Linked DNA regions of Daphnia pulex. The protein of the gene in region 1 purifies or fractionates together with the protein of each later gene. This does not show direct contact. Links are inferred from orthologs where the notes say so. Each region holds a gene or a part of one and is shown in the gene's direction. Other genes may lie near its edges.

What was found.
Region 2: the proteins of ataxin-7-like protein 3 (region 1) and transcriptional adapter 3-B-like purify together in Homo sapiens (affinity purification with mass spectrometry; 6 studies listed by BioGRID and IntAct, counting the BioPlex papers as one, with this or other methods). This does not show direct contact. The link is inferred for Daphnia pulex from reciprocal best matches to the Homo sapiens genes ATXN7L3 and TADA3.

The regions. Positions count from the first base shown.
Region 1 is NC_060017.1:2,596,131-2,608,944, reverse strand, and holds the start of ataxin-7-like protein 3, read left to right. Parts: upstream 1-7,112; 5' UTR 7,113-7,128; intron 7,129-7,172; coding exon of another isoform or gene 7,173-7,354; intron 7,355-7,420; coding exon of another isoform or gene 7,421-7,477; intron 7,478-7,544; coding exon of another isoform or gene 7,545-7,810; intron 7,811-7,885; coding exon of another isoform or gene 7,886-7,992; intron 7,993-8,059; coding exon of another isoform or gene 8,060-8,132; intron 8,133-8,189; coding exon of another isoform or gene 8,190-8,297; exon of another isoform or gene 8,298-8,328; intron 8,329-8,505; exon of another isoform or gene 8,506-8,643; intron 8,644-11,192; 5' UTR 11,193-11,209; coding exon 11,210-11,504; intron 11,505-11,998; coding exon 11,999-12,264; intron 12,265-12,346; coding exon 12,347-12,614; intron 12,615-12,814. Other genes in the region: cGMP-inhibited 3',5'-cyclic phosphodiesterase A-like, read left to right, coding at 709-899, 1,520-1,885, 1,960-2,379, 2,444-2,629, 2,711-2,734; uncharacterized protein LOC124200214, read right to left, coding at 4,398-4,407, 4,475-4,568, 4,640-4,750, 4,812-4,968, 5,030-5,203, 5,258-5,485, 5,559-5,780, 5,914-5,940; arginase, hepatic-like, read right to left, coding at 6,889-7,112, 7,173-7,354, 7,421-7,477, 7,545-7,810, 7,886-7,992, 8,060-8,132, 8,190-8,297. UniProt on the Homo sapiens protein: Component of the transcription regulatory histone acetylation (HAT) complex SAGA, a multiprotein complex that activates transcription by remodeling chromatin and mediating histone acetylation and deubiquitination.
Region 2 is NC_060019.1:11,484,093-11,496,681, reverse strand, and holds transcriptional adapter 3-B-like, read left to right. Parts: upstream 1-6,495; 5' UTR 6,496-6,647; coding exon 6,648-6,828; intron 6,829-6,903; coding exon 6,904-7,040; intron 7,041-7,113; coding exon 7,114-7,245; intron 7,246-7,308; coding exon 7,309-7,452; intron 7,453-7,529; coding exon 7,530-7,744; intron 7,745-7,809; coding exon 7,810-7,934; intron 7,935-8,000; coding exon 8,001-8,131; intron 8,132-8,188; coding exon 8,189-8,347; intron 8,348-8,417; coding exon 8,418-8,561; 3' UTR 8,562-8,651; downstream 8,652-12,589. Other genes in the region: rho GTPase-activating protein 190-like, read right to left, coding at 1-785, 853-1,319, 1,376-1,729, 1,797-2,048, 2,108-2,197, 2,290-2,437, 3,210-3,380; protein OPI10 homolog, read right to left, coding at 8,741-9,183, 9,276-9,405, 9,495-9,524; uncharacterized protein LOC124189823, read left to right, coding at 12,196-12,438, 12,532-12,589. UniProt on the Homo sapiens protein: Functions as a component of the PCAF complex. The PCAF complex is capable of efficiently acetylating histones in a nucleosomal context. The PCAF complex could be considered as the human version of the yeast SAGA complex.

The DNA.
Region 1 (12,814 bases):
CGGTGGTACCCATGGCTTGGCCAGCTTTGATTCGCCTTCACTAATGGCTCCCGCTTTACGGGTGAGTGATATGGACCACTCATTGCATCTGCCAACCGTTGGAATGAAAAAGAATAATACCAACGACGCTATCGAAGCAGAAGAGGCTAACATTTTTATTAACTTGTTCAGGAAGCGTATAGTGCCCACTTCTCGAAATGCCGTAGTCAATAAATATTACGCCTTTTACGGCCTCCAGCTCGGTGCTTTACTTTTTAAAGAGTTGCGGGGATTGATATTAAAGCGGTGGGTGATTGCCCGATTCTTCCAGAGTATAACACAACACATGAAGCTACAGCGCAGCGCAGTTGGAGGGCAACACACAGAGAAATCGGATCGCAACTTGCCGGTTTTTTCAGATTGGGTTGGATTGTACGCAAATCCTCGAGTTAGAGAACAACAATGCGCAGCGATGAGGAAAAAAGGCCTGTAAAACCTCTCGAGGATATGGAAGACCTCCGTAACCCAAGTGTGAGGCGAAATCTCGAAACCGATGAGATGATGCAATCATTCAACCTGACGACTCGGAGGGGTCCTATTAGATCAGTCGACTGCAAACAATTCGTCCGCCGGTGTATTTAGCGGAGAATAAAGTGATTCGTCTCACGTTTTACTGGAAAAGTCTCAATTCTGATTGTGCGTGCTATTTTATTGTGGACAAAAATTCAGGTGTGGATTCAGCCAGCCCAAGTCCAGCGTTAGTGCAGCGAGCCTCGTTCAATTTCGAAGACTCTTACGGAATCATGGGCGCTAATTTCCCGGCCTTGGAGCTGATGGCTCTCTACACGGCGGCCACCATGCACGACTATGATCATCCGGGCAGGACCAATGCTTTCCTCGTCACTACTCTTGCACCTCAGGTAAATCAAATCTTCCCTCATCAATAAGAAAAGATAAGGTCATAATAGACAAAGACATTTCTTTGATCCAAGTTTTAGTCAGTGGAAGATTCGTATCTTGTCTTTAAATAGGCCTCATTGCAGGAAGACAACATTGTCCAACTATAGGAAAATTGATCTAATTTTAGTTTTGGGACAATGGACAAAAAATGTTATTTATCGACAAAAGGTTTTTCTGTTTCATCAAGTCTTGCTGTTGAGGAACCCAATTTCCGACAGCACTTGACTCGATAGATATAGACGAAAGTTGCTCATTATTTCTGTCATTGTTCGGAGAGCTGGGAGGAGGAATTATCGATCTGAAACGGAAAAGGAGGGAAGCTTAACACAATGTTCTTTTGTTAGAATCCTTCTTTTTTTTTGTTCTTGTTTTATTCATGTCGTCATAATGCATGACAAGGTAAAAGTTCGGAATTCATTAAAGTGACATATGGTCTGCCCGTCTGCGTTCAATGAGGATCCGTTTGACTGGATTGGCTCCAACAGAAAAGAGTTCAAGAAACATTACGACATTCATGAACTCGTCGCATTATTTTCGGAGACAGAAGGATAATGATCTCAATCTTTTTTTAAAACTCTAGGCCATCTTGTACAATGACCGTTCGGTTCTGGAGAATCATCACGCAGCAGCCGCTTGGTCGTTATTTCTTTCCGATCCTCGTTTCAATTTCCTTGTTCACTTGGAACGAGCCGAATTCAAACGTTTTCGCTACCTAATTATCGAAGCTATTTTGGCCACGGACCTGAAACGCCACTTTGAAATCCTGGCCGAGTTCAACGCAAAGATGAACGACACCGACGCACCTGGCATCGATTGGACCAATGAGACGGATCGGCTTTTAGCCATGCAAATGTGTATCAAATTAGCCGATATCAACGGCCCGTGCAAGATACACAACATTCACGTCCAGTGGACCCACCGCATCGCCGAAGAATTTTATGAGCAGGTAAATTATCAAACATTAAAAATGTTCCAAGTTTAAACTCGATAATTCATGCGACTGTCAATGAATATTTTTAGGGAGACGAAGAAGCCGCTCTGGGCATGCCCATTTCACCTTACATGGACCGCAACAATCCACAGTTGGCCAAATTACAAGAGTCTTTTATTAACCATTTGGTGGCTCCATTGTGCAACGCTTACGGAGAAGCCGGCCTTTTGCCCGGAGAATGGGACGATGGTGTCCAAGACGACGATGACGAAAGCCTTCCGAGCTCTTTTTACAGCGACGAAAGTGGGTGCCATGATGATAGGAGAGCCAGTTCTGGGGACAGTTCGTGTTTGACGGAACTGGACAGAGATATCGGGCCATCGGCGGGTTCCGGTAGTGATTCTGACACGCCCGTTCATCGAAAACGGTCCCCAACGGGAAGAAAGATTCTCTGTTTACAAACGCAACATCTGCAAGAGAATCATCAATACTGGGTGACCCAGATAAAGGTGATTTTTCTTTTCAATGTTGGTTTTGTCTTTTTTATTTTATCAACCAACTCTCTCTTTGTAGGAGAGTGAACTCCGGCCATCTGCTGATGCCACGGGTGTATCGTGTTCCGGCGGAGGGCGATCCGGCGAAGATTTCGGTGACAATAATAGTTCAGGAGATTCCAGTCCAATAAGCCTCAGCGAAGACCGAATGGAACCCATCGCGGAGGAAAATAGTCCAAAATCATTTGAACGCAGTTTTAGCTTTGTAAGTTTGTGTTTTTTAGTTTGTTAATTACAGTATTTAAATGTTACAATAACAGCCTCTATATCATTTTCCTTTTTATAGGAGAAGGAAGACTCGAAACTTTAAATACCGTCGACCTGTGTGTGTGCCATCCCTTCTCTTTGGCTTGATACGGTGTGTTTCATTCATCATGACCCAATGGCGTGTCTTTTATTTGACACATCGCTAGACCACCATCCCTACTTGTCTGCGTGTATGTTCTGTTTGGTTCCCCTTACCTGTGATAACTCGCACCGACAATGACCCTTTTACGCTTATTGAGTGGCCGACCGGTAATGTAATGGAGCGTATCGCTTGGTGGTTAACGCCGTTTGCTTGCCTCACTGCAGCATTGCAGATGAGAGTGGGAATGGTCGTCAAGTTTTTGCGCAGGTTCCAAAATTCGTAACTGGCCAATTCTGCAAGTTTCTTTTTCCCTCCCTGACACGATTTCATTATCTTCGTACTGCTGTCATCAGTCGTCGTGCACGGACTGAGAAAAAGGAAGTCAATTACTTTTGTACACTTCCGTCAATACTTCATGATCAAATGGCGGAAAGACAAAATGGCCGAAACTACAGCGACGAGAGTTATATCCGCTCTTTCAATAGATTGGCCCAATAGATCATATCACATCATTATACGGCCTCAGTGAGTGCATTTTTTCGGAGTTCTGGGTTCTGCTAAGTAAACTCTATTGTTCATTCAGTACCCTTTTAACCGATTGCTTTCATTCCAATAGCATTATTTGACGGGCTTTGTAGGTAATTTTTGTAGAAGCCTTCTCTTTACAAATTTAAAGCTAGCATTTACAATTTGTACAGAATGACTTTGACGCTTACGGGATGGGCAATCGACATGGTTCATCAAAGATGATTGATCAGTAAAAGAGTTATTTATGACGAGTTTGAATTTGGGCCGTGCCGGTGATTGTATGCAATCAGGAATGATTTGTCTGTTGACGAATTCGCGTCATCTTGACATCATTTCGGTTTCTTTCACACATATTCTAAATGATATTTTAAAAAATTCATTCTTGTGTATATCATAACGAAAAAGTGACGTACTTGTAAATATTTGAGGGTTTGTCCTTTTCCCCTCGTGCTATATATTTTGCCGCCGTTCCGTGGTCTCCAGAATCCCTCTCCGTTCGTCCCACATGTTGCATGCTATTATTCTCTAAATAATTTTTCATTACAATATGTGTGAATTTATACAACCGTTAGTGTCGACCTAGCAAACCGTACAAACAATTCCATATCCACATTACAGAGACGAGATGTAAGAGCAGCTGCACAATGATAGGGCCGACGACTGACCATATTTTATGTATAAATTTGAATGATATACCAAATACATTTGCCGTTTACCCGTGTTGCAGCTTGGTAATTAGTTACGTCATGCTCATTAACCCCCCCCAAAAAAAAGCGGACGCTGACACACAAGTCTTCAAAGAAAACGAAATCACAATTTACTTTCATTTTATTATCAACATTTTCCGAGTAGTTAGTACCTCTGAGAGGAATTTCTGAGAAGGAAACAACATGGAGCGCCACAATTTTCTGTTTCCAGAATGGCACACGTAATCTGATTTAAACATTAAAACTATAGCTGTATAGATACTCCGACCTAACGTTTTTACAGCACACAATTTGAAAATGTAAAATGAAAGAATCCTGGGTTTAAAGCACGGTAGAATGTGACAACGGTTAAACTGGGTGTCACCTCTGTTGGTCCGACAAAAGCTGGCTTAAATTCGCCTGTAAAATTTTAGAGAAAATGTAAGAGCTTGCTTAGATCATTTCATATAAAAAAAGGAACAATAACCTCAAGTTTAGCGTTTCATCCGTGGAACTCCTATGGCCTTCTAAGGCTAGTTCTTCGCATTGTGGTTCGAAAATCGTACACTCCACACTCCTGTCTAAAAAAACGAAAGATTAAGAAAGGCCATCATTCAATTAAACAGCTTAGCAAGATCGAAAAACAACGTACAGAAACTTTTGGGTAAATCAACTAAATCCGCGCATAGTGGGCGTTGTTTTGGAAAAATAGAAGCAGTTGAAGGCAAGCCCAGAATTATGCGCCGAATCTCATAAAGGTGACCTATTAGAAGTACGTAATTAATCCCTTACATGACTTTTAATATTTATTTCTTATAACTTACGAGTATTCCATTCATAAGTAGATAAAACCAATTCATTAATACCCGAGTCTATTTTTATTGAGGAAATAGATATGTCCATTTGTCGGGCGATCGATCGAGCCCTTTCAGTAATTTCAGACGATGGGAGTTGGAACTTTAAATACAATGGTGTCACGCCCTAGAAAATCCAGTGATTCACCTAATGAGCGTTGAATATAATTTAAAAAAAATCTTCTTACGGTTATCATTTCACTGGCGAAATACGTGGCTTCCAGTGATCCTCTAACCAGGACTAAACTGCCGTTGACGGGGCAGCAGATTCGTGCTCCTGATTTTTTCTCTATCAATGGAATGCAATTTCTGACTAGACTAATATGTAAACACGAAGAATTTATTTCCATTTCGACCGATTCCTAAACACAATTTTATGATTAATAGTGAAATAAATAAATTACATGACCGAATACCGAAGGAGTTTGGACGAGATGACAAAAATGGGACACTGCTTCCTTCAGAAATTCAAATCGATAGTGGTGCCCTCGGATATTCACCTGATAGCATGCATCTTCTTCAACCAGATTAAAGACTAGTTTGACTCCAAATGTAGAAGAAAAGTGGGCTACAAGAAGGTTTATTCCGAGAGATTGGACTTTATCCGATCGACAGCTGACGACAAACACGACTGGCACACATTCCTTTCAATAGAAACGACACGTTATGAATAACTCTGGTGAATGAATGGAAATATAAAATAAATATTGCTTGAACCCGTATAGATAGACGAGCGGATTCAACAGCAGCCAGAGATCCTGAAATAGTTATTTTGGGAATACGAGTGGTGATGTTGAGATTCGTGTCGCTAGTAGGACAGAAAATGTTTGTGTCAGTTTGTTTCATCAATTTCGACAAAACACTTTCGTAGCGACCGTTTAAAATTCTTTTGTTTTCCAAATGATGGCTCAATTCCATCGTCAAATGGAGCTCCATATCCTAAGTACCAGAAATTACATTGACTTGTTGAAACGATTGAAAATTCCACACGAAACAAAACAGTCTCACAATAACGTAGACTCAATACATAAAACAAAAATAATTTCACTGTTTCAGTCACTTTTCCACTTACTTTACAATGGTTACGTTCGCGTTTCATTTGGGTATCCAATTATCGTATTCACTTCTAGCAACTGCAACACAAAAACTTCAACTCGTGTTCTCTCTTTCTTTGAACACCTATTCACCACGTCAGGTCAAAGAATAAGAACCTTGTCATCTGGCACTTTCAAGGTCGGTAAAACAGCAGCCGAAACAAAATTTGCCGCGCGAAACTTTATTGAAAGTCACCGCCATCTTTGGCACAAATTTGTCTTTTTGGAAAAAATTGCTCGACAATGTAGAAAATTAGAAATGTAGAACATGTGAACTGTTAATCAAGAGAAAAATATGATAATTTTACAAAATTGGTAGATGATAAATGCACTTTTTATATGCGTATTACATTATGCTACACTGTCTAAGAAACACATTAAAATTTGTACTTCTTTCTTTTCTTTTTCGTCTGAAATTGCTTGAACTTGTTTGTTGCAACGTGTGAGCTGTTGAGTGGCCTGGTGCGAATTTCGGATGATTTATCAGAATCTCAGTAAACTTGGGTCACAGATGTGCATGTCCACTACTTTTAACAGAAAGTATAATTCATTTTGTACCTAAATTTGCTTTTAAATTAATGTTAGTTGCTATTCCCTCACTGTAATTTAAGTTCTAAAACAAATTCCACTAAGACAGTTTTTTTCCATTGAATCAAAAATTGAACAAGCATGACAGAAATGTAAATTGCTCAATTTTTTTGTTGTGTTCCTCTTTAAAAATATATTGTGAATACCATGAGATAATTGTATTAATCAACAGCAACGAAAAGTTAAAACATCTGAAAACAAGGCAGCAATAGTTATAGACTACTTTTGAAAATCTTAAGGGAATGGCACAGGATCTTTAAGATTTCTTGGGCCTTGAAATTTGGCTGAATTAAAATTTAGGTAGTTAACGAGTAAAATGTAACAGATCGTGGTTTAAAATGCACTTAACATTTTTTTTTTTTGGTTTAAGACTGGGGTATATCGGTGACACCTTTTGGAGCCCACCCTCCTGGATAATATCCAGCTGCTGCTGCTGCCAGGTGACGAGCTGCATCCAGTGTAATCTTCAGATCACTTGCTGAGCCTAGTAGTGGATTTACTTCTACTATATCAACTGCAGAAAGCCGACCGGTGCGATGCACACTTCTTAATAGTTCGGTTCCTTCTCTCAACGTCAATCCTCCTCGAACTATTTGAAAAAAGGGGTAAGTTTCCAACTTTCCGTTTTTTTTTGTTCTTGTTCTACTACCTGGAGTTCCAGTTGATGGTGCTTCAAGGGGATCGAGGGCGTCAATATCGAAACTAACGTGTATGTGTCTAGTATTGCGAGGATCAATTCGACTTAGTGCGTACTTGACAGCTTCTTTGATACCTATCCCGTGAACTTCTTCCATCGATAGAGCACACATTCCCAATTTCTCAATTATTAACCTAAAGAAAAAAGAAGGTTTTCAAGAGTAAATAATGTGAAAGTCAAGTTTAGATATTTTCTCATACCTCTCATAAGGTTCTACATCACGAAGACCAATAAAAGCAATGTTTCTGGCTGAAATCCTATTTAAGACAGGGTTTAATATTGAATCTACTTGAATCTAATTTAAGTAAATCAAGTATTATTTACATAGGGCTATGCCATTCGAAACCGGGTATCTCTGGTTGGTATTCCGTTAGCTCCTTTATATGAAACGACAATGGCATACCGTGTGCATTTCCACTATTGCTTGTGACCGGAGTGTTTATATCAGCGTGAGCGTCGACCCAGAGAAGTGATGTCTCTGGTTGAGCTTTCAGGTGACCATGAACAGTACCTACACCAATTGAATGGTCTCCTCCCAAAGTTAGGCACATACGACCATCTTTTATTATCTGGCTGACTTTTTGTGAAAGCTGTGAAAATAATTATTTAGAAAAGGGATTTGACAGATAATTTGAAACACATAATTATCTATTCAAGGATCTTACTTTCTCATTGAAGGCTATTACATCTTTCATGTTTCGAACATTCTTTACAGTCCCTTCCTCTCGAGTGGGTTGATAGTCAATATCACCAAAATCATGAACATCACAACCTGTTGAAGTATGGCTATAATACTAGTCTGTGCAATCAGGAAACACAGCAAGGAAATTTCAAGTCACCAATTGACTCCAAATGCTTAATTAGTCCAGACTGGCGCAAAGAACTTGGTCCTAGGGCAGCTCCTTCTTTACGCTAAAATAAACAAAATTGTCAAAGTTGATATCAATATCGATACAATATGGCAGTTACTTGTCCTTTGTCGAATGGTGCTCCAATAACTCCAATTTTCGAGTAGTTTCGAGAGGAGAAAATGGAAAACCATTGCTGGACGTGAACGAATGGTCCCCTCTTCAACATTTTTTGTCAGTTAATAATGAATCAACGTTTGATCAGACATTTGCGCAACAGTGGCCTTGATATTTGAGACTTAGCCCGAGTTGTTTTTTAATTGTGCCCAGCAAGTTGCCTAGCAACAGCGTCATAAAATGTCGTCTGCTCGATCTTTTTTTGTTCTCGATCTGTGTGTTGGTGTTGACCGAGTCGGTTGATCGTCGGAAAAACAACCGCAAGAATCTCCTGGATTGTTATTCTTAAAATATATAACTGAAAAGTAAATTTGATCTCAACGTGATAGGGTGTTTAGTTTCTGTATAATCGCCATTTTTCTTCAATCCTGGAAAATTTAATAGTCAAACATTTTCAAGTAAGTTTTCTCGTTGTTTTACCAATTTTGTCATCCATTCGTTGCAGATAAAGAGTTGTTTTTTTTAAATTTAATTGAACCAATTAAATGGCTTTTTTGTTGTATGTCAGGCAGAATCGCACTACTAGAATCGTACATGAACGAATCTTTTGGATCGATCGAGATGTTTCTTTTTTTATTGGGGGGGGGGGTCCTGTAGCAATTCTTTTTATGTTCGTTAGATGGCAGAAGGGCGTCTGCGTTATGAGAAATTTGGGAAAAGAATAAAATGCTGGAGGTTAAATATGCTGAGTTTATTACAGCTTTTCAACCTACTTTGATCGATTTACTTATTATAACGTTCATTTTACCTGCGGCTGTTGAATCATCTATCCAGTTTTTTTTTTGTTTCGTTATTTCGGAAGCTACCAAGATGAACAAAGAAAACTTTGAACGGTATCGAAGCCCAAAGCATTTGAATGTGTTATTAGACTGAACTGTATTTCTCAAGGTTTCACCGGGAAGGATGAGTTTTAGAAATTGCGGAGGAAGCGGAGGTCATGGAAGTTGGAAAGACCTCCATTTCCTAAGCGAACTTGGGCAGAATTACTGGTGTCTGTGGTTCAGCAATTGGAAGAAGTCGAGAAAGAAGAGTGAGAACGAATGAGAAAAAGAAAGGTTGTAGGTGATGCGGTTTTGGTGGGGTCATAGATTGCGGCCGCTCGGAGGTGATTAAGAAAATTGGTTGAGGTCCTTGTTCATATACCTTTAGGAAACAATCACCATCACCCCGCGGTCAAAAGCCTCTAGAAATATTCGTCGGTTCTTTTCATTTCTTTTGTTTGCTGCCTTAGATAATTAAGAATTCCTATAAAATTGCCCAGATTAATTGTGCTGGTAGATGTCGTAGCTGTGAGCCGATTTTTCTCTCTTCTTTCCCATGACCAGAATAGAGAATTACCCGCAGTACAGAATGACATCTACAATTTCTTCCCGGTTTTCAACGAAGGTTTTGGTTTTTTGATCAATTACAAGTCATTTATTGCCTTCGGCAAAGAAGTTTTCTACTACCCGAGGGAGATGCAAATAAAATGTTAAACGCCGATGAGGATGATTGAAGAGTGGTGGTATAGAGCCTACTGCCTACCTATGTAGTTGTGTTGGGAAATGTGTCGTTTTAGTTTTGAATTCAATGTTCTCCGAGGTGGAAAAAGTAGCGCACATCGCACATGACTATTGGTTTACCACTTCGACTTGTGGCTGTAGAAATTTTATACCTTTCGGAACCACAACGTTTTTCTCCGTTTGAATTTCGAAAAAAAATAAAGAACTATCCTTGGTTCCTCGCCTAATTATTTTCTGTTATAGCCTTTCCTTGTCTCTTTTTTGGCTTTGAAGGTTAGACAGACAGTGAAACCGGCAATCAAAATTGATGGTGGCGACACTATCTTGTTGCTAGTTAGACCTTGGTGGAACTTCTCTTGGTTTTTCATGTTTTAGTTTTCAAAAGTCTCTTCTTCCTAAGGTTTTCAGAGGTTAAAAAGTTTTCGTTTGGCAATCCGTCATCACGTCTCCCGTAATGGTGATACGATCATGCCATCAGAAACGGTATTCGAGATTACTATGCATTTTGTCTCTTAGGCCAGGTATTCACATTCACCTTTTAAACACTTCCAAAAGAAAATTTATTTTGGGTGCAACATATTTACTTGGAGTTTTAATGGTTTATAAAATCAATTTCCAGCTGAGAGCTTGAACAAAGAAAAGTAGTAGCAATTTGCGTTTTTGATTAAATAGATAAGAACAATGTAATAGCTATTTAACTTAATCATGTTCTCTCTTTTGGTTTTGTTATGCTAATGTCCCGTCTGTCCCCGTTTTCTCGTGTTACCCTGACCGACCAAAATAGATTTTCTTTCAATTGTTACTTTTCCCTTATAAGGTCAACCACAGAAAGTAAGCGTCAGTTTCTTGGTAAGGTGTGTGTGTGTGTACTCCACCCTCGTGTTTGGATGATATCATTCATCTGATACGGAAAAGAGAAACACCCGACAGGGGGGGGGGAGCGAAGGGCAGAGCCTATCTTGGACCTGTATCCGTCTGCAGTATTTCTTCAGCACCATGACGAATTTCTCTTTCCACCCAAGTTTGTCTTCCTTTTCATGTGTCCTCCATCTGTTGCTATTACTTAGGACAACGCTATCCGGCTATCCTATGGCGACGGTTCTTTAAATTAAGCTGAACGAATCCGCTAAAGTCGAGAGCGACAAAATAAAATGAAGTCAACATCGACAAAAAGTACCCAAAAAGACAAGAATCAACATTGACTCTAGCGATCGTGACTGGCCAACAAACGACGGCGATTGCGAGACACATTTTCATATGAATTCATGGATAAATGACGTCAGCCATTTTCTTGTCTAGTCGGGGGAAAACGAATTCTATCCGTGGAAAACTTTTTTTTTTCTACAACTACAACTAATGATGCAATGACGTTACAAATCGAGTGCACCTGGATATTCTAATGATCGATCGTTCGTTCTGTTTTCTTTTTGTTTTTATGTGATAAGGGCAAGAAATAATCGAAATGGTGGATCCAGCATCAGGATCACAGCAACAACAACAGCCTCCGACGCTTTCCATTACAGTGGTGCCGCTGAATGTGCTGGACGATCCACTTGAAAGCGTGCAAGAGCTTGACGGAGACGAAGACTTAACAGGTGGCGGTCGGTTACTTCATCCGTTGAGCGAGTCAGCTATCCTTGAAGCGTCTCAATCGTTCTATGAGGACATAGTCGATGACGTTATTTTAGGCATCGTGTTTGAAGTCCACCGCGGTGCTAAATTGGGACTCACCGCTCTCCTGGAGGACGGTGTGACCGGTAATGAATTTGTTAATTTTTTTTTTCTTTTTCTTTTTTTTTTTTTGAGAATGAAACGGAAATAATTAATTTTTGAGAAACGAGTCATCATCAAGCGTCATCATTTTTCATTGCCGGTGTAACTCAAGCGTAGATTGATAGATGCCTTTATTCACTTGTGTTGCGATAGACATTTCCTGTAATTTTTTTATTATTTATTTCACTTGATTCGTTGCCTTCAAAAGAGTTTTGAATATAGTTGGACTTCTTTAACCTGTTCCGCTATTCGGTTTATTCTTAGTCAAGAACCGAGTCGAATCTTCATTTCAACCGGTTTTTATTACTTTTAGACCATTACGTGTGGACTATAAAACACAGGTCGTAAAAGAAACGAATTCAATCAACTTGGATCGTTAAGTTTTTTTTTTGTGTTTTCCTTAGGAATTCTGGGCGTATCCTAATGATCGGCATCGTAACAATAAAAGCTTGAACTTTCCTTTTATTTTTTTTTTAAGGTGATACACAATGTGATTTCGACGGAGACGAAACGACCCGTTCATCTACCGGCGGCGGTGGTGAAGCAATGGATTTCGATGCAGCGTCAGAGATGTTATCATCGGCAGCGGTCAATAGCAAAAAACCGGCTGAATGCGTCTGTCCTAACTGCCAGCGCAACATGGCCGCATCCCGTTTTGCTCCACACTTGGAAAAGTGCATGGGCATGGGCCGGAACAGTTCACGATTGGCGTCGAGGCGTATTGCCACCTCTGCTAGTAGACAGGTCCGTTTCCCTCGTTCAACTTGGCTGATTATGATTCAACTATGCACCTCATACGGTATGCGCGTGATGATTCATTCATTAGGCTGATTTGGTAAGCGATGACGACTGTGACGACGACGACTGGACGGCGAGTGGAGCCAGTGAAAGGCAGGACCATCGAATCATGAGCGGCGAAGGTGGAGGAGGTGGTGGCAACAAGAATAAACGCCGCCATCACTTGCACAAAAAAGACAAAAACTCGCCGAGACGCAAGAAATGGAAGAATGGCAGCAATGGCGACAACAACCATAGCAACAGCAACAGCTCCAGTGGTCATCCGTCCATTGCGTCATCGGCGTCTGCAGTTCCGGGTAATTAAACCATACCGACGAATTATTAACGGCTTGTTTCATTGAGTCTTTAAGACTGGACTTAACGATCCTTGTCAACGAGAATGGCGTGAAAATGTTTTACACGTTGAAACTTTCACTTTTCAATTGCCATCAGCGGAATTAATGAATTTGTCTGGCCTTGCCATCCACTCGTGATCTTCACTTCGTTATCAACGATG
Region 2 (12,589 bases), on another chromosome or scaffold:
ACTTTCCCGCCATCCATGGATGACGTTGTAGACGACTGCGAGACTTCAATGAAGGGGCACTGAAGATTGTCGGCCAGGTTTAAACCCTCGCCCTTGAGATGTTCGTAGTCGGTTTCGCTGAGAGACGGTTCGGCCGCCATGACGATGACGATCGGTAATCCCTGGAACGGCAACCTGTCTTCTTGCTCCAGGTTGGATAACAGTGTTTTCTCTAGGCTGTCACGGATGTACTCGAAAGATTCAGCGTTGGAAAAGACGCAAAAACAGCCCTGTGGAGTGAAATCGGTGGTCCGGAACGAGTTCTGTGGCAAACTGACGTCACCGTCAATGATCCTATAATCAAGGCTGTACACTTGATTGTCCATTTCGTATTCGTCCTCATCGCACAGCGCGCGAATTTCGCCGGCTAGTTCGTGTGCCAAGTCCCCAACGCCCAGCAGAACCAGACTCAGCTGACTGTTGTCACCACCACCACTTCCCAGCATCCATTGACTATGCCGGTTCCACGAAGACGGTCGGTGAGCTTTGACGGAAATGAGCCTTTCAATGACAGCGTCCATACAATTGGGATGAGCCGGACAATGCTCACGGATTGGACAATGGACGAAGCCTAGGTGCTGGAGCAACAATAACCTTCGTTCGTTGTCCAGCCTGTCGAGAGATTTATAACGCGAGTCTTCTTGTAATTCTTCGGTAATTTCCCGAATGTCATCTTGCGTCACCGTTCCCGACGGCGCAATACTCTTGAATTGATAAAACAAATGGGCATGCTCCAATAACAATTCCTGTTACGAAACAAAGAAGGACAGTCGTTATGGGTGAAACAAAACATCGAGATGTGGGATGACGAACCTGGAAGTTTTTGCGAGCCTTTTCCGTAATATCCCTCTGGTGCAGATCATAGATGTGGTGACAGTCTGCCTCGGAGAGAGCCTCGAAGCATTCACGGCCCATGAAAAGGACTTGAACTTCCGACAGTGTCTTGCCAGGTGTCACGTACCCGGTTTCTTGCAGTAGAGACTTGAACTGGTGCCGGTATTCAAGGAATCGTTGTTCCTTCTGCAGAGAGTTGATGTGATTACGGAAAACCATTTCGGCTTCACTCGTGTCCAGGACGTCGAACGGTATTCGCATTTCGGTACTGTCCAAGAGATCTGTTTCAGCCCACGACATTCCGTCAGCTGGACAATCTAAAAAGTATCTGTTGAATTCCGGATGGCCGTGCATCTTCTCTTTGATGAGTTCCCAGTCACCCTCCTCCAAGCTGGGCAGATCTGGGAAGAATTCAAGAAGGATTTCCGGCAACGTGTCCATGTAACCTACATCCGACTCGTTAGTTCAACATCTCAAAGAGTCATGTTAGACAAGCAAGAACCTTTGATTTTGCGGGCCAAATGTTCATCTTTGAGCTTCTTGACATGACGTCGGAAAAGGCGTTGGGCGTCGTCCTGACCAAAGAGGTTACAATAATGAATGTAGTCCGGGTTGGGGGCCAATTTCTTGGAGGTAGCCGACCAAAGGGCGCGGAAGTCCGTCACTTGCGCCCGAATCAAGCGCTGAAAGGCTTCCGTAGCCACATCTAGAACGTCCTTGCGGGATCTTGCCGCTTCGGCAAATGGCACGATTCGCATGCGGTTTTTGGCCTTATCCACCATCTGAGCCAAAACAAGAAACGCCAGGTCGACATTGACGTTCTCGTGCGCTGATGTTTCCACTAAAGCAATACTCCCTGTAATTTGAAATTTGCATTGATGATGTTAGAAAATTATAGCTAAGAGGATCTCAATTAACTGGACCTTTGAATTCTTTTCTCGAAACCAGTTTCTCGGCTTCGCGGATAAATCCGTCAAAGGCCTCGTCATTTTTGGTGGTTGCCAGGACGATGGGTTTTTTACTCTTGACCAGATTGGCGAGAATGTTTGCCGTGTACTCCAACTGCCGTTCGATCGGCCGACTTGGCACCATGGAAACGTCAAAGACGCAAATGAAGCCGTCAACATTGAATTTGCCGTCCGGCATCACTTTTTGTTCATACTCTTTTTCAATTCCTATAGCCAAGGGAAGTTTATTTTACAGTCAGCAATTAAATATTATTACTCCAAATTACCCAGTTGATTCTTGCAAATGTACATAAATTTTTCGGCAGATGTTAATTTGGTTGCGGCACATCGCTTGACATAAGGTTCCATTTTACCACCTAAATTTGTTAAGGAGAGCAAAAAAAAAAAAAGATGTCGTCGGGTTAGTCAAATCAATTAGCAAGTTTGACGTCACTTGAAAGCACCCCACCTTTAAATGGTTGAAAAGAGGCGTCGTCAATAAACTCGGTCTGTTCGACTAGCTGAAAATGATATTCGACGCCATCGTCGGCCTGTTTCGTTGTCTCACCCCAATAGAGGAAGTGATCATTGTTGATCACCCGACCGCTAAAGTCCGTCTGTCAAACAGATAAGCAGAACAAACAAATATGAGATTGCAGTCGTCATAACGATTGTGAGGTAGACTCCTTTGTGTCGGCTACTGTCAATTAAACAGTAAATAGTGATTGAACTATTTAAATTGTTATTGTACAGTATGTGTTTTGTTTCTGTTCAACTTTCTGTTCCGATCCCTATACAATTATACATGTGTGCAATTAGGGAACCAACAGTTATCTAAGACCTTCAGCTGTGTGATGAGACATACAAAGTAGGGCCGCAATTGCCTTTGGCTTGCAACCGGAAGTTGCCGCTAATGCCGTCACTTGCGGTCGGGAAGGGGAAAAAAAAGAGTAAAGAATCCTAGAAAACAAAAAAATGGAGAAAAAGTGTTGCATTGCGTACAGCAACGTGTGCCTGAAGGTCAGAAAATCGTTGAAGTACTACTCCCAGTCACCGCCCAGCCCCTCACAACAAAATGAACGACAAAAGAGAAGAGAGAGAAAGAGACATATAAGGAAAAATGGTGTGAACATCAATGGGAATGCCATTAGTTCCAGTTCCAGACCCAACCCGCGATAACGGAAACATGCCATCAATAACGATTTCTTTTCTTTTCACTTGGCTTTCTTATTCCTTAAGGGACTTAACGTTGGAAAATTGAATGTTCCAAACAACGTCGTAAAATCTATGGATTCTAATAAAAAAAAGGCTTTGCCGTCCCAGTCCATTTGGTATTGTTGACACACTGCCATTGGCAACCGACCAGGATGTTCTCCTTACTACACTAACCTGACTGAGGACGGAAATGTGCTCGACGTGGTAATCATCGGCCAACGATTTGATGAAGCGATTGCAGAGACACGATTTGCCTAAGCCAGACTGGCCGCGTTCCTTCTCTGTGCCGGCCAGGCCGACCACGGAGACATTAAGCGTCCGCAACTGTTCCGTTTTTCTAGCCATTTCTAAAAAATTTTTCTTTCTTCTTCTTCTTCTTCTTCGTACGTCCTCAGATTGGCGGTGTTGAAAAATTGGCTGCCCGGCTGAGGGTTTCTCACTTAATCACACTCTTCCGGAGATGGTGCAATCATCTTGATCGCTTTCCACCTTGCTGAGACCATCATATCCTCCAATTTGTCGAGAATGGCAGCATCACCCTGTAATCCAAAGTAAATGACATCACATTAAATGAGTGAAAATAAGCAATCACAAAATGAAAACGAAAAAAAGTAGTCCACAAACTGGATGGAGAAACACGTCACCCGCCCTTTTGGATAAGATCTGAGTTACCGCCACCAGGGTTCGTTCCAAACAAGGACGAGCTGCGTGTGTCCCCCAAAATTCAACGGCTTATAACCACAAGAGAGTCTCGAATCAATAGTCTGCGATCCCGAACGGTGTGCATGTGTATGTGGAAAAGAGGGGAGAGAGTTTGAGCTGAGTCAAAGAGACAACGTAAAAAAGAAAAAAAGACGAGAAATGCAAGAGGAGCAAATCAAACGATATCAGTTTTGTCGGCTTGTCATTCCCGGTAAGGAGATGCAAGGGGGGAAATCAAATTGGAAGAACTAACAAGAAAACTGCCCGTCGTTGAAACGGTGGCACGGCACGGAAGGAGTCATCCGATCGGAAATGGATATAAAAACGGATAGACTGAGTCTTTGTCTCTCGGCATCATCCAAGATTGGCTTGGCAGCTGGCCATTGGAAAGAGGCGGATCTTGACGACTAGCACACTGGTGTGCAATCGATCTCATCAGCGTTGCGATTATCGAAGCTTCTTTACAGCCCACTCGGTCGGGAAGAAAAAGTACAGGATCGCATCGATAATCAATTCTTTAGGGAACTAGGAATATCGTCGTATGGCTTTGTTATCGTGTGCCAGTCAGAGTCAGAATCGCCTCCAAGTTCGTTGTCAATGAAATGGCTTTGTAGCGGATGAATGCCAATTCTGGCAACTACTTCAGTCCTCTTTCGACATCATTATCACTCCAGTGTCGATGATACTTTCCACTGTTAACGTGTTGTTTGTTGATGTTGTTCGCTTTTTTAGAGGGGTCGCGACCTACTAGGTGGATCAGATTAAGGCAATACACGCGAGGTACGCATCGAGTCCCGGTGCCCCAAGTGTCGCCGGATCGTAACCCAAACGACGGCCTGTGATGCAAGGACTTGCCGGTAACAACAAAGAGAGTCCACGTGCCCAAAAAGGGCTAGAGGGGCCTGGTATGAAATGATCTTGGGTTTCCGTGTTGACTTGGATTTCAGAGCTCTCTTTTAGCTTCATGATGCGGGCTCAGTCAACTAACGATGATGCATGTAAAAGGAAGCAGTTGAAATAGGGGGGTGAAGATATGCCTACCAGAGAGAAAGAGAAGGGAGCGGTCGTCCTGGAGACCAGCTCTGCTGGCGTGACCTCCCGCCTGCCTAACTGAATGACACAGCCAAGGGATTCCAGTAGATTTTGAATGCGATCGATTCCTTTCCCCCACTGCACCCCAAGCGCCAATCCGAGAACCTCGGACTGTAAGAACGACTGGAGATGCTCTCGTTTGTGTGGCGTCTACGAGAGGCCGAAGCACAACAATAATAACAACCATCAACACAGAGAGGGGAGAAAAACACGGGACAATGTCTGTTTTCATAGGAGGAACAGTTTCTTTAGAGCCCTATCGTGTGACTCCTCCTCGAATCTGGAAGAGATGGATTCATCGGGTGGAAGAGAAAGGCGACGGAGATCAGGGATGGGAATGGATCAAGAAAGTATGTGTGTTTGGACGCTGCGCACAAGTCCAAGTGCCGTCGTCGGATTCAACCCCCACTCCTCCTTCCCTTCCTCTTTTTCCTCCCTCCTGACGTGATCAATACCTGAGCTACAGATTCCCCCATGCCCTATTTCAACCCCGCCAACGCATGTACAGCTGTGCAACCCCCCACCCATTTGCAATCGTCGCAAAAAGAAACAATTCACTTCCAAATGAACTCACTATCAAATTTTACCACCTGATATCTGCCTCTCATACGAATGCTACTGTTTGGATAAATTAGGGTCAGACTGCTGCATGTCACACAAGATTACTCAAGGTTTACTAGGCAGGATGGTATAAAAAAACCTGTGCTAATTATGAAACGAAGAGAGGAATTTTGAGAACATGCTTTGATTATGAAGGTGTCATGTTTCACCATCCAGAACTTTTATGATTGTGCAACACAGCGGTCTCCTTACCTTGAAATGAACGGATAGCTGCAGTACACACAAAGCAGTAGGAGCGAACTGGAAAATTGTGTCTAAAATGTCACTGAAAAATGGCTGTTTCAAGGAAACTCAGGATTCTTCAATAATTATTGAAAACGAAGGATGTCCCCACACGCACTCGACCCCCCTTTGGGTTCTTCAAAGCAAGTGACACAGATGGTGTAGCCCACACATATCACAATATGAAGAAAAACAAGGTTTCCACAGCTATTTGTAGAAAAAATAAATTGCACTTCACGAAGTTCGGTCTGGAATTCCTCTCTGATAGGCCGCAGATTCAAACTTTAATTTCAAACAGACAATAAACTGTCATGAAACGTAGATAATGTTAGTGTCACAAAAACTCGTTGCCTTTTCACTCGGTAGCCATATTGGAATAAACTGAAAACACCAGAGAAAAGAAGACTGGAGACCCGCAGACGAGGGAATTTTACAGCCCTGAAACTAGCGCTGTTTCAGACATAACGGCCACATAATAATATAGTGAAACACCAACTAAATTAAATAAATACATTGGCCTATGGAATTTGTAGTTAAATGAAATCGATAAAATATCATACAAATTTATATTAAGCATTCTGCATTCATTAAAGAAATACATGAAAATTTGAAAAATTTGAAAATCAAGTCTAAAACTTTGAGTTGCAATTTCCCTGATTTTATTATTTCGAAAACTGCGTTCAAATATTTTTAACAAGTAATTTAAAAAAATATATTAGACTTTGATTGTCTTTTCTCTTTCGACTTAAACGGTTTAAGTTATCCAAAGTTTTCATTAAACCATTCAAGGAGGCGCTGCTATCGTTTGACGAATACCCAGTCTCATTTTCTCTCTTACGTTGTAAATCGAAATATCGAATCGAAAGTTTGAAAGTTAGGTATCGATTCTAGTCCAAGCTTTTTTGACAAGTAAACAACGTAAATCGTACATTCGTACGTGAATTGTCTTGTCAAATTTAAAATTTGGGCCGAAAAATGGTTCCGGGTAAAGGTAATATCTCCAAAGGAAAAGGAGCTACAAATGTCAAAGGTTCAACGTCAGCCACTAAAGTCAAAAGGGAAAGAGTTTCAGAACCTGAGGACTCAGATGAAGAAGTTACTCTAGCTGATGTCCGAGCTGTCGACTATGGAAAGGTTTTACCTCGTTTCACATCCAGTAAGAACTAATTTTTTTTGTTTTTCTGTTGGTTTTCTAATTAACAAAGATATAAATATAATCAATTGTTTATAGTTACGGCTAGATCAGAAGAAGGGGGTGTTATGATGGATGATTTGGACACCTTACAAATGGAACTAGAAACACTACTCAATTGTGTTGTTTTGCGTTCCTTAAATTTACAGAGAGAAATTGCAGGAATGACTGAAAAGGTATTCATCAAAGTTTTTTTTTCATCTTGTGTCTATTTTCTGTTTGCCAACAACACTATGTGTTTTTTTTTAGCCTCCATCTCCTGGAAAACGATCAAAACAAGAAGAGCGTTCACCTAAAAAGTTCAAAGATCAACCAGGAAAGCTTAGAGATGCACACACACCTCCACTTTTAAAGCAGATGAAAATTAAATCTGCTCTAGCTGTACCTAGTTTCATGAAAAGTAGTTTTATTTACAGTCAAGTAATGATCTCTTTGATTTTATAGAAGCCTATCCCACCAGAAGGAGTTGTTGAGGAAATGCCTCCTTTAGAATTAATGAAGACATCAACTGCCAAAAATGATACACCAAACAAATTTTGGGCTTCTGTAGAACCATACTGTGCTCTTTTTACAGATGATGATTTAAAGGTAAAATGATTTGTATAAGATTAACATAACTTGGAATTAAATTTTTTTTCTTGTGGTAATTGATGTTTTAACTAAAGCTAGTAGAAGAACTAATCTCAACTCATAATGAGGATGAAGAATACCTCAAAATTCCTCCTCTCGGTCGCCACTATACACTTCGGTGGGCAGAAGATGATTTACTTCAGGAGCAAAGAGAGGGCTCTCGTTTCGGCGAGAAAAAGAAGATTACCTCTGGATCTTCTGTAGGAACGGAAGAGGCTCAAAGATTAATGGACACAGCAGCTAAAAACAAGTAAAAAATTAATATTTTTTTTTCTAATAGCCGCATATTGCTTAACGATAGATTTAATAACTCAGTGCTGAAACAAATACTACATCTGCGACGGGGATGTGCGGACCCATGACCCAGCGTCTCATTTCAGCTCTTTTAGAAGAAAATATTGTAACTTCTGTGCAGGACACAATGGAATCAGAAGGGCAAGGTATATTGTTCATTGTTTTCCTGTTTAAAACTAATGCCAACTAGCGGTTCGAAATTACTGTAACAGACGAAAACGCGAAATCTACTGGCACGAAGGCAGCAATGAATGGACCTCAAGCTGCTGCACTTGAACGTCGTATTCGTCAAGAGTTAGAAGAACAAGGCATTTTAACTTCCGAAGAAGCCAACGTTAATTCGGTAATTTATTCATTCAAAACACATTTCAGAGGTAGTATTATTAACCCCCTGATTAAGGCCGATGATGAAATATTGACGGAGTTACGTCGATGCCAAGGAGAATTGAGGGCCATATCACTGCACAACTTGAAACAACTGAAACGACTGTACCGCCTCAGTCAAGAAGAAATGAAACGTCAGGAAATACGGAAAAAATTGATTGCAGCGGACGCTGAGGTATTCATTTTTCAAGTGTCATCTCTGCTTATCGAGCTCGTCTACATTATTCCCAACTTCTTTTGAATAGGTATTAGACGTATATCGTAAAATGGCTGCCGCTAAACAAAAAAAACGCCCGTTAAGCAAAAAAGAAAAAGATCAGATGTGGAAAATACTTCGTGATCGTGAAGCGATTGTCAAACAGCTGGACACGGGAACGACTAGTATGTAAATATTTTTTCAAACAATACAAGACGTGTGTGATGAAGATGAACTAAGATGGTTAATTGAACTTTGCATAACAATATAAACTTTTAACAAGCCTTGTTTATTACTTAAATCAATTAGCATGTATTCAACAATGAAAAGTTGAGGTTACTTGAAGTTGATAAGAATTTAATAAGAATTCTTTCAACTTCTCCAAAACTGAGGATTCAATTCTAGTTTTCTAATAAAGTTAGTGTACCAGTTTCTTAAAACAGACATTGGGATGAAACTTTCTGATGGATTTGGTGTCATTTGTGATTGAGTAACAGCAAAACTTGCTGCATAATTGAAAAGATTTTGAAGAGTACGTTCAGCAAACTCCTGGAATGTTGTGGTGCTACTAGGCTCTGTAATGGCACTAGGAGATTGATTGGAAATGAGGCTAAGAGGCTCAATTGAAATCCCTATTTGAGCATGATGATGTATTTCCCCCTGGTGCACCCCAAACATACTAGGGCTATAACTTCCCGGATTCTTCTTCAAGCCAGTGATTTTGTAAATGCTTGACGGTTTGTTATTGGTGAGGTTACCTAGTAGTTGCCACACTGGTGGGGCTGATAGATCTGGCTCGGGCCACCTGAAGTACACTATTAAAAAAATTATTTTGTGGTATTTTAAAATCTATCTTCCGGAGTATGCAAAAATTTTTCCTTTAACATAGAATTGTACTCTAACCAACCTGATCCACCAAATCCCTCTGGGAATGGTGATGCGCCAGTCAAAAATACTACCAAATGGTTGATATTATCGGCATCAGGAATAGTAATAACAAATTGTGAGTCTGTAATTTGTTGAAAGTTGGTCTGGACCTGTAAAAATGTATTGACAATAGCAAATCAAGACACCTACTGTAGTTGTGGAAACGTATTTACACGCGAACACAAACACTGAAACTTACCAAACGCCCCGATACAATAAGACCAAACATTTCTCAAGAAAACCACAAATTCTGATCAGTCGAAGTAACAATTGAAAATTGAATGCAATTCTGTATGTTTCAGAAACGCGAATACAACGATTTATCCTTCATTCCAAATTCTAGATGTTTTCGAAAATTCGTCGTCTCACAGACATGTCTAGTGACATCTATGTACAAGAGATGCAAATAGGTGTTTGAAATAAAAAAAACTTGCCGCGCTAAAATCGTTTTAATGTGTTTAATGTGCGTGTTACATAAATAAATCAGTAAGTTTGTGTTAGCTATGAATAAATACTATATAAAATAAGTCACTGCTAATCTGAAAATTTATAAGTACGACGTTAGTGACGCGAATAGAAACGCAAATTGAAGCATTTAGTTCCTGATTTCATCGGAATGAAAAATAAGATCCGCATAACTCATTCGTCTATTCGATGGTTGATCATTAATTACGAATTTTTTTATTTTCAACAATTTAATTTTGAATTTTTTACTGTTACTTACGATCCCATTAATACATAATTAGCTCCAAATATGTCTTTCCGATATATATATTGACGTGATCTCTCGGTTAATATTCGAAATACTCATTGTAGACAACATTCTAAAATGCCCAGATAAAGTAAATAAAAATTCCCAACTCAATTGCTAGACCACGAGCTAAAATTCACGCAGCTAGCATGCATGACTAGAATAAATATCTATCAAGATTTCTCAGTGGGGGTGTTGCGTGTAAGCAAACAATCACTCCGCTACGTACACAAGTACCGGTAGGCTACGTACGATAGTATCGTACCAGCAGCTGTCAAGCCACAAATTATTCCGTTTCCTTACGTACACACATAATAAATGTTGATTTCACGTGAAATCCATTGGTTTTCACCAAACAAAAATCCTACGAATGATTTCTAGTCTGAGTATTTGTTTTTGGAATTTGCACAATCAAGTTAGGCAACTGCGCACAACATGTCGACACGGAAGACTTAATTTTTAATTTTCCATATGCACAACTAAATCCTCCCAATAGTGTAGTTTAATTCATATCAGTATAAAAACAAATGCAGCTGCTAGATCAACGTGAAATTTCGACAATTTAGTTGCTCATCTAAGTTGGTACAATTATGCTTAATATTTCGCTTGATATTCTTCCATTAAAACAAGAATTTCTAAAAATATTTTCTTTAGATATCAACACCAATAGACCAAGACTAAGAGAAATCACGAAGAATTTTTTTTTTTGCTTTTGCTTTTCCAACATTTTATAGGTTCGTGTCCTGTGTGAACCCATGCAACCGTGTAATAGGTCTGCTGTACTGTCTATATATATGTCTACAGTCTACACTCATATGTTTATTCAGTTTTACAGCGTTCACGGCGAAGGACGGACGTTTTTTCTATTCGCCTCAGTTCTAGTTAAGCAAACCAGTTTTGGAACAAATGCTTTTTGTTCGCCAGTATCAGCATCGCATTTATGAATCATTCAAACCAATAAGTTTGCATAGCGTTTGACAATACTTCACTACATCTGGAAACTAAAATACGTCATCAATCCTCGATGGACTTCCCTGCAGCATAATTAGAAAGAAAAAAAAAGTAGGAGGTAGGCCTTTGATTTTATCTATGTGCTTAACATACCTTCAGTTTCAGCATTTTGACTTTTTCTTTACTTGAACAATTCATATCTTATATAGTAATCTTTCTTCGCTTCGCTGGCTCCGCTGGAACTGGGTAGGGGCTACCTTACCAATCCATCACTTTTATCTCCATCACCCTCGACCAAATTTTTCAACTTTCTTTAGTCTGCGTTGGAATCACTTCAAAAATAGTAAGCGGTAAAACACCATGAATCATGAACTAAATATTGGCCTATGTATGCCTGTGCACGCGCTTCTTTCATTACTCTTTTATTTTTTGCTATAAACAAATAATTTTCCTTAGCTGATCGTGTGTCTGTTTAGCTATGCGCCCATGAAGTTTTCACATTTTTATTGATTTGCAGTAATACTAAATATAATTTGTAAATTACCCAAAATATTATGTACATTTAAACAAGTAGGGCGCACTGATATAAAATGGCAAAAGAAGTAGCAACACGGCAAACAGCTGCTGATAATTCTTATAAAAAGCTTTTGACTAGTTTCATGATTTTTGTCCCATTCTCGACTCCCCTCATGTAAAGGAGAACTGTACGACATTGTTACCTATGTTCTACATCTATGTAAAAAGCAAAGATTGGATGGAGTACAACCTGGTTTTTTTCCCTTCTCCCTTAACTGTCACCACTCCCTTTACCTCGACGATGGTTCATAAATCCAAGCTAGGTAGAAAGGTATAGGGCTGTGACATAATAAGTGACTCGACCAGTGGTTGCTGGCCAATGAAGGGGGGGGGGGGGCTCGTGGATTTCTCTCAACAGATGTTTCAACAATATGACTTTGGGTTCACTAGACAATAAATTTAAGGATAGCGTAACGTGTGGACAAAAGTGGCTGATACAACGGTTACTATCGGTGTAGCCTATCATTCTACCACAGAGAAAAAAAAATAACAATAGAAAAACCAACACAGCAGTCTCGCTTCAATATCATAACTATGGATTAATGTGTGGATAATTTTGCGCAAACATCTAGTCATAGTAATATGATTTAGTTTTTTGTCGCAAACCATTTTCAGGTTTAAAATGGTTGAAGAAATAAGACAAGTCTCTTTCAACATCGACGATAATGATTGTGGCAACAATGAGCTGTCCACCTTCCCAACTACCCGAAGCTCGCTTGACATTGATTACAAATCCGAAAGTGTTCCGGTTGCAGCAGGGCCCCACAGTTCAATTTCAAGAATAAACTCTAACTCCAATTTTATGCTGTCAAACAACTCCGAAGTTTCGGGACTGGAACTTGAAGAATGTCCAGCGATTTCGAAGGTAAATATCTGACAAGAACACCAATTAAACCTCATAATTATAATTCGTGTCGAATATTTGAAATATTTATCTATCGATATTTTTAAAATGTAGTCCTCATCCCCAGTCTGCGTGACGAAAGGACCGATATGGAACCGGACGGCCTGTGTGT